Alligator mississippiensis: one gene and its partner. The protein of the gene in region 1 interacts with the protein of each later gene in a pairwise test. Links are inferred from orthologs where the notes say so. Each region holds a gene or a part of one and is shown on either strand. Other genes may lie near its edges.

Region 1 (7,466 bases):
GGCAATAAATACCCACTAATTAAACATTTTTTTAAAGAGAGGCCAATAAGTTGACCAGAGCCTAATTAGAGACAGCCATTACTCCGGATGCTAATTACCTGGAGAAATAAAACAAAAAGCCCTGGATTTGTTTATCTCTAATCAGAGACAACTAAAGAAATGAATGAGAAGTGATGGCTCATATGATCTGACCCCCTAACACAAAAATTGAGCTGGTAATTGAATTATTTGCCAAAAGCAGCTCCTAAAGACCCATTACCAAGCTGGTTGATTGTCCAAGAATGGCCTGTTTAATTAAAGGGGTAATGCCAGAGGAACCTGGGGGCCAGGAGGTTTGGGCACCTCCTTGCTCATGTTTGGGACATCAGACGAGCTGTTCATGCTGCGGGAACTGGCCTGTGGGAAACCTGGGCACCAGTGGTGATGAGTTGGTGGGCATAGCTTGGTCTCTTCAGCCCATCAGTGAGGGACAGACTTGATCCCGACTCAACAAGGGGAAAGCAATCAAGGTTCCTTCAAGATCCAGCCATCGTCAAGGCTTGATCTCTTCCGCTGGATCTCTTTGGCCCATCAACCAAGATCAAGGGATTGACTCGATCTTGACCCAATGTGGGGAAGTGCCAAGGTTCCTTCAAGATCTAACCAAGGCCTGATGGACGACAGCTAGATGTGGGCACTAACTGCTAGAAGATATCACCAGGTGAGGGACCCTTGGACGTTGTTCCACTGCCTCCCTGGGAGAAAACCCCAGCAACCATCACTACCACCTGGCCTTCATCCCCCAATGAAGCTATCAAACATCATTCAATTGCTGTTGGCAACACCCTAGGTTTGCCAACTTGGTTCTCCTCATGGTCATAGGTGAGGCTGACCAACTACCACCATCTGACCCTCTGCCAATCCCTACCGTTGGGCAACATCTCTCCTCACTGCTTGTTCCCTATAGCACAGCTTCCATCTGATGAATGTTGCTGCTGTCACCACTGCCATCTTGTGGCTGCCTCTGGCACTCAAGAAGCCACATTGGGATCCAACTCCTATCTTGGCAGCAATCCCCATTAAGATGGCTCCCACTTGAGCAAGGAACAGAACAGGAGGTAATAGGCATATATTGCCTTTAGAAGTCTCAGCCAGACCAACCACCCCTTGGCCTTCACCTCCCCGCCCCCTCCAAAACAAAGCTATTGAGCAACGTCTAACCACCATTGGCAGCATCCTATGGGCATCGATACAGGTATCCTCGTGCTCACCAGGCAAGTGAAGCTGGTCCATCACCACCATCCAACCCCTCTGTCTACCCCCATGGTTGGGCTCGGTGATGCCTCTGTCCCGCGACGCTCTCCGTCACTGCTCAGTTGCCATCTTGTGGCTGCTCCCCAGCACTCAAGAGGCCATCTTGGGAGCCGGCCACCATCTTGGGAATGATTCCTGCGAAGATGGCTCTCTCTTGAGCAAGGAATGGGACAGGAAATAATGGGCATGCAGTAATGGGACATGGCCTTCAGAAGGCCTGGCCACCCCAACTGTCCGTGCAGACAGGTCAGCTGGCCCCAATGAGTTTGACCCCCTGCTCTAGGCTGATACAAGTCCTCTAGCTCTCCTAGAAAGGAGGAGTGGGAGGCCTACAATACACCGAAGAACCATGTTCCCGTCTTCTTCCCGTCCCCAATACTCATTAGCTTAACTGGGAACACTGAGAAGCCGCTCAAACACAGAGGCCTTCATGAGGAGAAGACACAGAGGAATCTGGCCTCCAAGAACTGACCCCAAGACCAATTGTGATGGGGAACTCGGCTGTGCCATGCTCCAGATTGGTCAGTGGCAGGAGCATTCAAGGGTTGAAGGGTGCCAACCCAAAGAGCTGGATGGCTTAGCTCCGCCACCATGAGGGCCAAAGATCTGGTGGATCCCTTCTAAGCAAACAGAGCCATGGGATTCGATTCTGCTCTAGGCCAATTCTCTGTCTTGCCAGCGAACCCGGTGGTGGCTCCTCTTGGTGCCAGACCCACCCAAGGGAGCCATGGGGAACCACACGCTGGATGTGGGCACTGCCCCTCCTGTGGGGAAGGTGCCTGCCCTGCTGCCACCCCCAAGGGCCCAGAGTTGCAGGTGACCTGGGTTGGTCTAGCCCATTGGGTCCCCAACATCCCACTATCAACCCCCCAGCAGGGAGGGAACCCAGGCATCTGGGCTCCCAGCACCACCTTCACCCCCCCCCCCCCCCCCGCCAAAACAGGGAGAGAACCCAGGCATCCGGGCTCCCAGCAGCCCCCTCCTCTTCTCTCTTCAAACAGAAAGGGAACCCAGGCATCAGGGCTACCAGCAAACCCTGCCTTCCCCCCCAAACTAGGAGAGCACCGTTGTGTGCAGACTCTCAGCAACCACACCCCCACAAACTGGGACACAACCTGGGCTTCCAGCCCGCCCCACTCCTCCCTCCCCAACCCAAACAGAGAGGGGACCCAGGTGTCCCCCCCGCCGTGCCAGGACCAGGAGAGAACCCAGGCGTCCGGGCTCCCAGCCGCCGCCCCCCCCATCAGCCCCTCCTCCCCCGATCCAAATCAGGTGCACGCCCCCCACCCCCAGGGACCCCCAAACGCGACCCCGCCCCTGCCCCTCCCCCACTCACCGGCCCCCTCCTCCGACCCCAGTTTCCCCCCAAGTTTGGGACTTTCCGCCCGATGCAGCCTGGGAAATGGACGCGCGGGGGCGGGGCCAGCCCGGCGCTGGCCCTTTAAGGGACCCCGGACGCCTGGGTTCCAGCTGGAGCGGCTCGGATGCGTGGGTTCCTCCCTGCAGCCTCTAGGGGCGCGGGGGGGCCCGGGACGCCCGGGGTCTCTTCCAGCCGGGGAGGGGGCTGGGACGCCTGGGTCCTCTCCCAGCTCCGACACACAAAGGGGGGGAGAGGGCGGCGGCCATTGGCTGGGCCAGAGCTCGAGCCACCCCGGATGTCCCCGCGAGGGGGAGGGGAGGCGGCCCGGACGCCTAGGTTCCCGTGGGGGGAGCGGGGTCTAGGAGGTGAAAGGGCGGGGGGAGGAGCTAGGAACCCGGGCGCCAGGGTTCCCTTCATCCCTCCCCCTTTTGTTTCTGCAGCTGTGCCCTGGCTTCCTGGTGGGGGGAGCTGCAGGTCGGGAGTGAGGGGCACCAGCAGGGCTAGGGGGGAACAGCCTCCAGGCCTCCATTTCTCTTTGCCCCTTGCTCGATTCGCCTCCTAACCCCCCCCCCCCCCGCACCCAGACCTCTGGGGTCATGTGGGAAAACAGAGGCAGCGCAATAGTTATGACTGGAGATGGGGCTGGGGTCCATCACGTGTCACCCGTGGTAGCTCTGCACCCTTGCCCCTCCGGCTGTGGCTGGGAGCTCGATGCCTGGGTTCTCTCCTCCCCCCCACAGGGGTCCCAGAGACACCCCGGGCAGCCCCGCGCTGTGGGTAGACAGATGAACACTAGGGACACACCAGCTTGGCCAGTCTAGACTTCATTGTCTTTATTGTCAGGCAGTGCGGCCTCCATGGCAGTGGTGCACCCATGCCCAGCATCCTCCATGCAGGGGTGCCTCTGGTCTGGTGGGAGGAGCCCCTGGTGGCTATGCCCCCCAGGTGTAGCTAGCCCCGCCCTCAGGGGCAGATGGGGAGTCCTGCCCCCCATCAGGCCATAGCTGCGGGGGGGAGGAGGGGGTGCCTCTGGGCAGAGTGTATTTCAGGGCACTTTCTTGTGGTGCAGCTGGGGGGCCTGGCTGGGGATGGGGGGCCTGGCTGGGACCTGAGATCCTAGGACCAAGGCCAGTGTTCCTGGCTGGCGGAGTGGGGTGTAGTGGAGGGGTCACGGGCCTCGTGGGATCATGGGGAGGGGGACCCACCTGGGGTGTGCTGGGATGCCCTGGCTGGGATGTGCAGGGCTGTGGCTGGAGGCTGGGGCCAGGGTCCCATCTGGGGCCGTGAGCCTGCAGGAGAGGCGGGGTGTGGAGGGTGCAGGTTAAGAGTCGCGGGGCCAAGACCAGTGGTCTGGGTGAGGGCCATGAGCTGGGTGGAGGTCCCGGAGGGACCGGGGCGGTGTTAGGCAAAGCGGCTCCAGTCAGGAAGGGGCAGGGGACTAGGGGGCAGCTCACGGGGGGAGCCAGCAAGTGGCACGGTAGGGCGCAGGGCATAGTTGTGGCCTTCATTGTTGTCCCAGAACTCGGCGCCAGCAGTACGGTAGCGCAGGGCAAACTCCAGGGTGGCACCAGGCGGTGGCAGGGGCAGGCGGAAGGCAAAGCGGTCAGCACCAGGTGCGGCGGGTGGGCAGGCACCAGGGGGGGGTGGCGCAGGGCCGGCGTAGGCGGCTGGGGCCTCGCGCTTGCTGGCCCAGCCATCCCATGTGTAGCGCACGCTCACCCGCTTTTCATAGGCCAGGTCCAGCACGCGTAGTGTCCCCGCCACGCCCACCCCCTCTGCCCGTGCCCCTTCCAGTGCCACCGCCTGCGCTGCCAGCCGTGCCCCCACCTCTGCCTCTGCTGCTGCCCATGCCCACGGCGCTGCCCCACTGCTTGCCTGCCGGGGAGAGAGACAGTGGTCAGCAGCGAATGGGTGGGCACACTGCCCCCATCGCCTGTAGCCACACACTTCACCCCCAATGGCCCTGCCCCCAGCCTGTAGGCCCACCCCACAGTTGCCTCATAGCCCCATCCCCAGCACCCTTATAGCCCTTCCCCCAGCCTGTAGGTCCGCTCCAGCAGCATCCCATAGCCCACCCCCCAGCCTGTAGCCACAGGCCCCCCATAGCCCTGTCCTAACACACTCACAGCTCCATCCCCAGCCTGTAGCCCCACACCTGGCATCCCATAGCCCCCCTGCTCCTGGCCCCCACAGCCTGTAGCCTCACCCCCAGCCCCCTGCCATTCCCCCCACCTCTCCAGTCTGTAGCCCCACCCCCTAGCAATCCCATAGCTCCACCCCAGCCTGTTGCCCCACCCCTCACCTTGATGTAGGGCAGGCAGGGTGGGAAGTGGCTGAGGGAGTCCCGCCGTAGCTGGGCCTGGACGCGCTCGGGCACCTCGGGCAGCTGGGCTGGCCAGAACTGCCGCACACTGGCCAGCTCCAGCCCCAGTGCGTCGGCAAATCGTACCCGCTTGCGCGCCCCGGGGCTGCGTGCCCGCCCCGAGCCCCCCCCAGCCCCCGCCCCTGGCCCGGGTGGGGCAGAGTGAGCCCGACGGCTCTGGCGGGTGCGGGTCCGGCGGGTACGGAGCCGGGGGGCACGGGGCCGGGTGGAGCGGCGCGAGCGTCCCTCGGGCTCCGAGTCCTCCGAGTCGTCAGCCAGGCTGGGCCGGGCGGTGCGGTAGTAGGCGCGCTCGTACAGCCCCGCGATGTAGCTCAGGTTGCGCGGGATGTCACCCCGTGGCGGTGGCGGGGGGGTGCCCGCCATGGCCCCCTCTGTCGCTTGCTGGGCACCCTCCCTCCTTCCTGCGCTCACTCTGCTGGGTGTTGTGTCCTTCTACTCCTCTGTCACAGGTCTGCCACCTTCCCTCCTTCCAAGTCTTGCTTTGCCAGGCTGTGCCCCTCTATCCCTCCGTCACCGTCTTCCCCGTTCAATTCTTCCGAACCTGTCACTCCACCAGGCTCTGTGTGCTCCCGTTCATCCGTCTCTGGCCTGCCACGTTCCCTCCCAAACCTCTCACTCCATCAGGCTCTGTGCGCTCCTATTCATCTGTCACAGCCTGCCACATTCCCTCCTTCCAAACCTTCTTGCCCCAGGCCCCGCCTCCTTCTGTTCCTCCGTCCCTGGCCAGACACACTCTCTTCTTCCGAAGGTCTTGCTTCAGCAGGCTCCGTGTCCTATCCTTCCATCACCAGCCTGGCATGTTCCCTCCTTCCCAGCCCTTCACTCCACCTGGGCTCCGTGTCCTCCCACGCTCGCTCTTTCCAGCCAGCCCAGCTTTAGCCCTCCATCAGAGCTCTGTCCTGTGGTCTCTCTCTCCACCACGCTGCCTCCCGCACTCCCTTCTTCAAGTTCTCTCTGTACCTGGGGCCTGTCTTGTTCTTTCTTTCCAGCTTCACAAAAGCTGTTTCTCCGTCATGCAATCTTCCACCTTCCGGCGTGCCTGGGTCTACCTCTCTGGCTGGGTCTGTCTTGTCTCTCTCCGTCAGGCAGGTGTCCACATTTCCTTCCCCTGAGCCACCCGTTACTCTCCCTATTGCTCCATTACATGGTCTTCCACATTCCCTGCTTTCCCAGAGCCCAGTGCTGTCCCTTCAGCAAGGCTCTGCCTCATATCTCTCCATCAGATGGTCTTTCACCTTTCCTTCCAACGGGCTTGGCTCTGTTCCTCTGTCTGGGCCTGTCTTTTTGTCACACCGTCTTCCTCCTGGTCTCTGTCCGTCTGAGCGCTGCCTGGTTCTGTCTCTGTCCCTCCGCCCTCTGTCTTCTCCTCTGCCAGGGCTCCCGTCTCCTGTCTCTCCCTCTGTGTGATGTATTGCTCCGCCTGGCCCTGAATCTCGATCTCCCTTTCCACCAACAGGCTTTCTCCTTCCCTTTCTCTTCTGCCTCTTCTGACCCATCTGTGCCAGCTCCTCCCTCCCTCCTTTATTCTCTTTCTCCTCCTGCCTTTCTTTCAACATCCCTCCATCCCAGCAGCCTGCAAGTCTACTTGGGGATCACCTCTCCACCCTAGGCCCTGATCAGCCAGCCCTGTGGAGGAATGGGGAGGGAGCAGAGGGCAGCAGGGAGCTTCCCCAGAGCATGAAGGGTTAAGGCAGAAGGGACCCAGGCATCCAGGCAAGCCTGGAACAGCAAGTCCCTGCCAGGCAAAAGGCCAGCAACCAGGATCAATAATAAAGGAGGTGAAATAGCTAATGGAAGCCCAGAACTAGCTTGGGACTGCCCTGCCCCCCCGCCAACAAACCTGGGCTGCAGGTCAGGAGTGCGGGGTACCAGGGTGGTGCAGTGGGCTGCAGGTTGGGAGTGAGGGGCACCCATAGGCTGCCATTCAGGAGTGAAGGGCAACAGCAGGGCTGTCGGCTAGGAGTGAGGGGCACCATGTAGACACAGTGCCCATATTGTTGTGGGCCAGCCGGGTTAAGAGGCTAACGAGCTTCTGGAGTCATTAATCATGCAAAGAAGATGCTGGTGCATGAATAATGAATGAGATGCCCAGGCTGCAGCCTTCTCCGGCTACCGCACCCTCCCAGTTGGGGGTAGGGCAGTGCCTGCTCACGCCAAGGGCAGTCATGTTGGTCCCCTGGCCATGCCCACAGCAACCACATTGCCTCCATGCAGTGGTGAGGGAGCAGGGCCCTACCCCTCAGGCTGTCTTGCCAATGCTGTTGCCAATGGGCGGCCATGTTGGGTTGATGTCAATGGGTTGGCATCCTGTCAGCAGGGTGAGCCTCTTGGCCTACCCTATCCATTGCTTTGGGGTCAACGGGGCAAGCGGGATGGCAGCCATGTTGCTGAGGGAGGATGCAGGGCTCCAAGGCGTGGGAGCCCCGACAT
Region 2 (7,923 bases), on another chromosome or scaffold:
CGCAGACCGGGACCCGCTGGGACAAGATCGTGCTGAAGAAATGGTGAGTGTGGGACTGGGTCAGGTTTGGGCAGCCCAAGGGCTCCTGGCGGCTGCCAGCTTTGGCCCCAGCAGGTAAGTTCCTCCTTTTGTCCTACCCAGGGAGGTTGCCCAAGTCCTGGGTGTTTTTTGATGGGCCCCGGGTTTGATCCAGTCTTTAACTGTAACCATTTCCTTGTGGTGCTGACTGCAGCTGCTCCCCCAGAAGCGCGTGTCCATCAAGGCCGTGGGCTGTGACATGTTGGGGGAAGAGGGGGTTGCTGTGAGGGAGATTTTTTATTAGAAGTTGAAACAAAAACGATGGGTTAGCAGGAGTTGAAATACAGTTAAAACCTTTAGCAAACATTGGATTGAAGTCTTTCTATACCCTGAACTAGAGCTCTTTGTATTTATCCTGTAGGTGAAATGAAGGCTTCTTGTCTTGTAACAGCACCTAGGGTGTCTCTTCCCTTCCATGCTTTTTGGGTTTGATGATTGCTGGCTATGAAAACATTTTGCTTATGAAACTCTGGCCTTCATATCTCAACTGCTCACTTTTTTTTTTATTAAATAATTACTATTGGGAAATATTGATAATACAACAGTAGTCCCTTTATTGGCTCCATTTCCTTTTATTGAACCTTGTAACGAGCTTAGGTGTTTTAACTTCCTTTCAAACTCTTGCAGGTACACCATTTTCAAGGATCACGTTTCACTGGGAGACTGTATCCTTAAGCATCAGAGTGGTCTAGGTAAAATGCATTTTAAAGACATCAGCATCTTTTAAAGCAAACCTTTTAGAAAACAGGTGTCACTCTCTAAGTACTTGAGAGAGAGACACATTGCATGTACACAGTCAGACAGCACCCCTTCCTTATCTGATATTGCTGCTTGTCACTAATGAGATGTCTTGTTTATGTTCTTGGCCACTGATTAATGGTAACGGGTCAGTCATGTAGCACAGTGGTGATTATTTAGGAAATCTCTTGGTACAAACACAAAAAACCCTTTGGATTAACTTCCCAGTTTGTTGCTTCAGACATTAGCACTTACAAGCAGCACATGAGTCTCAGACTCTTTTTTGTGAGGCCAGCAGTTTATCCAGGTTGTGACATGGAATAAGAAGAATCATGTTGCTGAGAACTTGTGCACTTATCTAAGAAGTTTCCTGCTGTTGTTGATTTTTGAATCGTTGGTCTGACAGATGTTCATATCTAACACCCTCTGTTTGTATTTAAATATATTTCCATGGGAATTCCCTTAACTTTTACTCTTCAGATGAAATCCATGATGGCATGAACCTGGAGCTATACTATCAGTAGTTTGGACTTGAGCTGCAATTGTATATGGCAGGCAGCACACTTTCTGCTTTCCTTCTAATATTAAACATGTCTATATATTTCCTTATTTAGTGTAAAGTGCAAGTGAAAAGCTCCAGCTGTGCATATAGTTTAGTCAGAGCTATTTGGCTTTGGCAATAACACAGGCAGCAAACATATAACAAAATTGCTTATGTTCTTAAATTTGTGTTTGTAATAAATGTTTCCTGACAGTTGCAGTGTCCTGTTCATGGCTTTAAGGCAGACAAAATCTCTTTCTTGGTAACTTCCACAGCAAACCTAATTAACATAGCTAGTAGAAGACAGCCTTGAGCTTTCTGAAATAACATGAAAGCTGCTCTATCGCCATCTCCTAGGCTAGACTCATTTTTGGTTGAGAATTGAAAACCCAGAGCAAATGCATTTAATTCAACTTAGAAGCAGTCTGGGTTTTTGTTTGTTTTTTTGGGGGAGGGGAGGGGAGTGGTAATTTATTCTCAACAGAAACTTCAGTGCAGTGGTTAAGGTATGATCTAGACTGACAAATGCAAAAAGCAGTTCCCATTACATGCCTCTAATGGAGCTGCTGACCATTGTGTGTTACGCACTATTGTTTTTCAATGATACTTCAAAAAAAAATCCCACTCTGCACTGCTCATTTAACACAATCGATGTGAATTGCCTTGGGATCCCAGCCAAAGCAACAAGATTGGGAGTGAGACTGGGATGAATGAGAGGAATCCATTACAAAACACTTTAAAAGGAGTATTTCAATGTGTGTGCAGACCCCCAAACCCACTCTTTCATTTTACTGAGCTTATTTCTGTGCTGCTCAGTAATGTGTGTCACGTGCAGTAGAGCAGCTGCCTGCAGTTAATAAGCATGTTTAATCAGCTGAGATTGAAGTTCAGGGCAGCAGCAGGAGATGATTTTGTCTTGATGTTTTCCAGAATTAAATGGCCAATGAGAGAAAGCAGCCTCTCTGTGCATTTCTGAGTCAGCCTAAGCACAGAGGCAGGGATGTTAAATGAGACTCTCTCTTCACAACAGCTGTTCTCTTTCTTATTTAAAGCTTTCCACTGACAAATATGGATGTTTATGGTGCCTTTTAAGTAATTTATTTTCCTGTTGGTGAAAGTAGTGAGTCTTGGACTGTTTCAGAGTCCTTTTAACCAGAAGGCCCAGTGAGGCAAGCTTTCCTAATCATGATATTCCTCAACCCTAACTTTGGAGATGGGTTAAGCAGGAAGTTCAGGTATTCTTCTGAGATCAACATGAGTGCAGCCTCCTGTGGACATGCAGCATTTGTTCAATTGGATCACGGCTTAGAACAGGAAGCAGAGAATTTTGTACCTAAAACTGCAGGGGGAAATTAGGAACTGCCTGGACTGGAATTGAGGCAGGACACCTGCTTTTACTTTTGTATCTTATGAAAAATTGCCAAAAGGAATGTCATAGCTTCGATACGGTATCCCACCCCATACTGGTGAACAAGTTAAGAGGCTGTGATGTGGATGACTGCACAGTCTGGTGGGTGGCGAATTGGCTAGAGGGTCGCACCCAAAGAGTCGTGGTGGATGGGTCGGTCTCGACCTGGAAGGGTGTGGGCAGTGGGGTCCCGCAGGGTTTGGTCCTTGGACCGATACTCTTTAATGTCTTCATCAGCGACTTGGACGAGGGAGTGAAATGTACTCTGTCCAAGTTTGCAGATGACACAAAGCTATGGGGAGAAGTGGACACACCGGAGGGCAGGGAACAGCTGCAGGCAGACCTGGATAGGTTGCACAAGTGGGCAGAAAACAACAGGATGCAGTTCAACAAGGAGAAATGCAAAGTGCTGCACCTAGGGAGGAAAAATGTCCAGCACACCTACAGCCTAGGGAATGACCTGCTGGGTGGCACAGAGGTGGAAAGGGATCTTGGAGTCCTAGTGGACTCCAAGATGAACATGAGCCGGCAGTGTGACGAAGCCATCAGAAAAGCCAATGGCACTTTATCGTGCATCAGCAGATGCATGACAAATAGGTCCAGGGAGGTGATACTTCCCCTCTATCGGGCATTGGTCAGACTGCAGTTGGAGTACTGCGTGCAATTCTGGGTGCCACACTTCAAGAAGGATGTGGATAACCTGGAGAGGGTCCAGAGAAGGGCAACTCGTATGGTCAAGGGCCTGCAGACCAAGTCCTACGAGGAGAGACTAGAGAAACTGGACCTTTTCAGCCTCCGCAAGAGAAGGTTGAGAGGCGACCTTGTGGCTGCCTATAAGTTCATCACGGGGGCACAGAAGGGAATAGGTGAGGATTTATTCACCAAGGCGCCCCCGGGGGTTACAAGAAACAATGGCCACAAGCTAGCAGAGAGCAGATTTAGACTAGACATTAGGAAGAACTTCTTCACAGTTCGAGTGGCCAAGGTCTGGAACGGGCTCCCAAGGGAGGTGGTGCTCTCCTCTACCCTGGGGGTCTTCAAGAGGAGGTTAGATGAGTATCTAGCTGGGGTCATCTAGACCCAGCACTCTTTCCTGCTTATGCAGGAGGTCAGACTTGATGATCTATTGAAGTCCCTTCCGACTAACATCTATGAATCTAGCTAGAAAAGGTGCATGTCACTAGGAAGGCAGCAGGTGCAGAGCTACTAGCGACTCAGAGGGGAAACTATCAAAATGCAAATTTCTGCAGCTCCCCCCACCACAGGGAGCAGCCAGTTGGCTCCAGCCTGATCAATACAATGAATCAGAAGGCATGTACATTTGCACTTTACACCTCATAGATTAAATCAAAAATCCATAAACTTCATCTCTTGCTGAGCAAAGCTTGTGCACCTATGATTGCATCTGTGCATTTAGTCTGGGGAAGATGCAAACCTCCCTGGCCTTCCGACCTGCACGGCTCTCCTAGAGACAGTGAAGGACAGGCTGGAGAGGGTCCTTCATACTTGAACCTTAGTTTAAGTAACAGCAGGAGCTAGTAAGTGGTAGTCATCGGGACAGCCCGTTTTGCTCCCGTAGGCCTGGCTGGCCCCTTGCAGCACCTGCTGCAGCCTGCTCTTGCTTCTGACTGCTGCAAATCTCCCCTGCCTTCGCCTGCGTCTCGCCGCGGCCCAACCTGGGCGGCTTGGCGATGGGGTCCAGGCCGTATCCAGAGCCCAGGCCGCGAGAGGCACCCGGCCTGCACAGCACCAGCGCCTGCTCCGTGGCTCTGGGTCATTTGCATTTTGCAAGGACGGTCAATTAGCCTCCTGGGGGCGCCCCTGCGCGCTCCCGCGGTTAAGGCACCCCCGACCCCGGCTGGGAACCGGGGCACCTGGCACCGCCTGCACTGAGGCCCCGAGGGCTCCCCGGCACTCCTCAGGCGTTCCGCAACGCCCCTTGTCCCTCCCCGGCCGCCGTCGACATTCGAGCTACCAGAACCTGAATCTCTTCCGAGATTATTGCGGCCTAGCGCTCCGAGTCAATCAGGGCTGGGAGGGAAGGGGAGTGTGTTCTCCACCAATGAGCGACCTGGAGGTGGGACCACGATCCCCTCTGAGCCAATGGCCGTTCGCAGCATCCTGCCCCGGGGCCTTCCTCTAGCCAATGGGTGGCAGCGCGTGCGGCAGCGGGGAAGAGGCTGGGAGGAGGTGCCGCGCGCAGGGAAGATGGCGGAGGAGGAGAAGCTGCCTGCGGGCTGGGAGAAGCGCATGAGCCGCAGCTCAGGTACAGCGGCGCGGTCGGGCGTTCGGCCGCGCGGGGCCGGGGCCGGGCGCTGCGGCTGGGGGGCCGCGAGGCCGGGGCGGGCTGGGCCGGGCCCCTGCGGGGCTTGGGAGGGCGGGGCCGGGCTGTGGGGCCGGGCCGCGCCGCTCTGCTCTTGATGGGGCTTGGTGGGTCCTTTGTGGCCCCGGCAGGGCCCGACCCCGCGGTGCCTCGCTCCTTTCCTCGCCTCGTGCGGGGGGAGGGGCCGGGGAGCTGCCCCGCGCCGGCAGGGGGAGAGGTTCTGGGGAGGGATATGCGTCGTGGGGGCGGGGGGGCGGCTCTGGAAAACGCGCGCTGATCCCGGAGCTCCCTCGGGAGCCCAGGCGGGTCTAGGCCCCTCCCCGGCCAAGCAGAGGTTTGTCCCCTTTGTCGTGAGACTAGAATTGCCTTTTGCTCCTGCCCCCCCTCCCGGTGTACAGAGACCCGGCCGTTGTCGGGGTTTTCGTCCAGTGATTGCAGTGCCCCAGAGCTCTGGACCCGGGCTGGCACCTCTTAGGATGTCGGAGGTGCTCACAATTTGTTTAGTCAGAGTCTGAGCTCCTGCCAGTGCATGAATGAGTGGACCTCATCCTGCGGGTTGGGGACCCTTTACAGTTGGTGCTCCAGCAGTGCTGGGACATTGCTTTAGCTGTCTTGATCTCAGAGCAGTGTCCCCAAACTCTTGGCTGCTTCTGGGAAAGCCTGCCCTTTCCTGATAAAGAAAGGGCTGATTTGTTTTGGAGGAGTGTCTTCCTCACTTCCAGCCTGCAAAGGTCAGTTCAGGGTCAGGGGTCCCTTGTTTGTGTAACACCCAGCATAGTTAGAGGTGATTGCTGCTTTGAAAACTGTGCCCTGTTAACTGAAGGATCTGTTTATTAGGATACTGTTACCCCCTAAATGTATCTAAATACATAGGCAGGCAAGGTTCTTTGAGTAGATGTGATGTTTTTTATTAGACCAACTGAGTACTCAATGGGTCTAATGAAAGATACCACATTTACTCAAAAAACCTTGCCTGTCTATGACCTTAGACCAACACAGCTACAACCAAAAACCCGGTCTAAATAGATAGGGATTTTTGCCATGCTTTGTGCTCTCAGTTGCAAGCTGGATTGGAATGAAACACAATCCCCCTGTGTCAGAAACTCGGCACCGTTCACCTTCGCTGCAGGGGTAAAATGGGCAGAGTTCCACTATGTCGCTGTGCTGCTTCTGAAGATGTGTTGGTGTCATGTGACTCAGGAAAGCTGCAGGCACTTGCTGCTTCCATAAGAATAATCGGTGCTTTACAAATGAGCCAGCCAGCACTTAAGCTGCTGCTGTTTTGGGAAGGTTTCAAGAGTTTTTGACATAGACCCTGATCCCACTTTCACTGAAGTAAAAGTGACTTGCCCAACTTTGGAAAGGGAGATGGTGTCAAGAGTCTGGTTTTGAGTAGAGCAGCTGCTTTGCTCAGGGCATCTTTGTTTCTCACTAGAAAACCTTGGTAGAGAGTTCTAATAGACTGAAATCTGTAATGCTGAGACAGCCTGTTATTATGGGGATGTTAAGTATTCCCAGCCTCTGCACTGATTCTGCAGTGAGCTGACATCCACATTTTCACCCACCTGCAGAAATCCAGAATTTATCTGCTGCGATAAGCAAGAGGCTATTGCTGTGGATCTTCTAAAGACCTGGTTTTCTTTTCCTTCTTGTTTCTAGGCCGTGTGTATTACTTCAACCACATTACGAATGCCAGCCAATGGGAGCGCCCCAGCGGAGGTGGGAAAAATGGCCAGGGGGAGCCGGCCAAAGTGCGCTGCTCACATCTTTTGGTGAAACACAACCAGTCCAGAAGGCCCTCATCATGGAGGCAGGAAAAGATCACACGGACCAAAGATGAGGCACTGGAGCTTATAAATGGCAAGTAAAAGCAGGAGGCAGATTGATGTTATTGTGAGGGAAAGTCATGTTAAGGCCAAAAATGAGCACAGAAATAAGTGGCTTATTGGCCTGAACTCTCTAAATAAAAGTTTTTTGAGGCAAGTGGTTTGAACATGGACTTTCGTGTAGCACAGCCACTTGGAGAAACACTTTTGCTGCATGATTTGCTGATCATGACTAAATGACTTAGGAATAGAACCCTCCCTCCCCCTTCCATCCTCATGCCAGTTTCCCCCTTTATGTTTTTGTAATGTTGTCAGAGGCTTGTTTGTATTTTCTTTGTAAATGTATATTTTTATATTAAAAAATAAAGCAATTATTTGATGCTAAAACAAGTGCTCCTTAAACATCTTCCTTTTTTTGTTTAATATTTATTTGCCTGTTTGTCCTGGTGGCAGTTACTGTAAATTTTGATGAATCTCTGCCTGGGACTGAACCCCAGGTATAAACATCTTGAATATCTGTGGACAAGTAAATTTCTTGGGAGTGAGGGAATTGCATGCCTTTCCTGCTGTATATGGGACCCATCACAAGATACATCTTCCTTTGCAGCGCCAGCAATAGTTTCTAACTATCCTGTTTCCTAATCAGTGAATTTGGGCCTTGTGGGGCAGAATTCTAATTCTGGTTTACTGTTGGCACTCTTCATTGAGTTCGGTGCAAGGGTCAGAGGATCTGTGGTGAAAGTCTCCTGACTTTGCACCATGGCCTGTGTTCCAATCTATAGCAGTCAGTCTTGACTTGTTATGAAAATGAGTTAATATTCTGTGAAGTGCTTTGAAGTTGTAGGCAGACAAGGTTCCTTGGGTGAATTTGATATCTTTTATTAGACCAACCCAAATGGTTGGAGAATAGTTATTAAGCAAGCTTTCGGGTTCAAAAACCCTTCGTCAGGTTTTTGAACCCGAAAGCTTGCTTAATAACTATTCTCCAACCATTTGGGTTGGTCTAATA

What was found.
Region 2: the proteins of HOMEZ (region 1) and PIN1 interact in binary tests that used the Homo sapiens proteins (3 or more experiments, as listed by UniProt). The two-hybrid records come from large-scale screens. The link is inferred for Alligator mississippiensis from reciprocal best matches to the Homo sapiens genes HOMEZ and PIN1.

Annotation. Positions count from the first base shown.
Region 1 is NC_081830.1:7,415,783-7,423,248, forward strand, and holds the start of HOMEZ (homeobox and leucine zipper protein Homez), read right to left. Parts: upstream 3,015-7,466; 5' UTR 2,630-3,014; intron 2,188-2,629; exon of another isoform or gene 1,251-2,187; intron 1-1,250. Other genes in the region: PPP1R3E (protein phosphatase 1 regulatory subunit 3E), read right to left, coding at 4,055-4,528, 4,956-5,399. UniProt on the Homo sapiens protein: May function as a transcriptional regulator.
Region 2 is NC_081831.1:22,016,035-22,023,957, forward strand, and holds the start of PIN1 (peptidyl-prolyl cis-trans isomerase NIMA-interacting 1), read left to right. Parts: upstream 1-4,921; 5' UTR 4,922-4,973; coding exon 4,974-5,031; intron 5,032-6,747; coding exon 6,748-6,948; intron 6,949-7,923. Other genes in the region: UBL5 (ubiquitin-like protein 5), read left to right, coding at 1-43, 706-743, 1,297-1,340. UniProt on the Homo sapiens protein: Peptidyl-prolyl cis/trans isomerase (PPIase) that binds to and isomerizes specific phosphorylated Ser/Thr-Pro (pSer/Thr-Pro) motifs.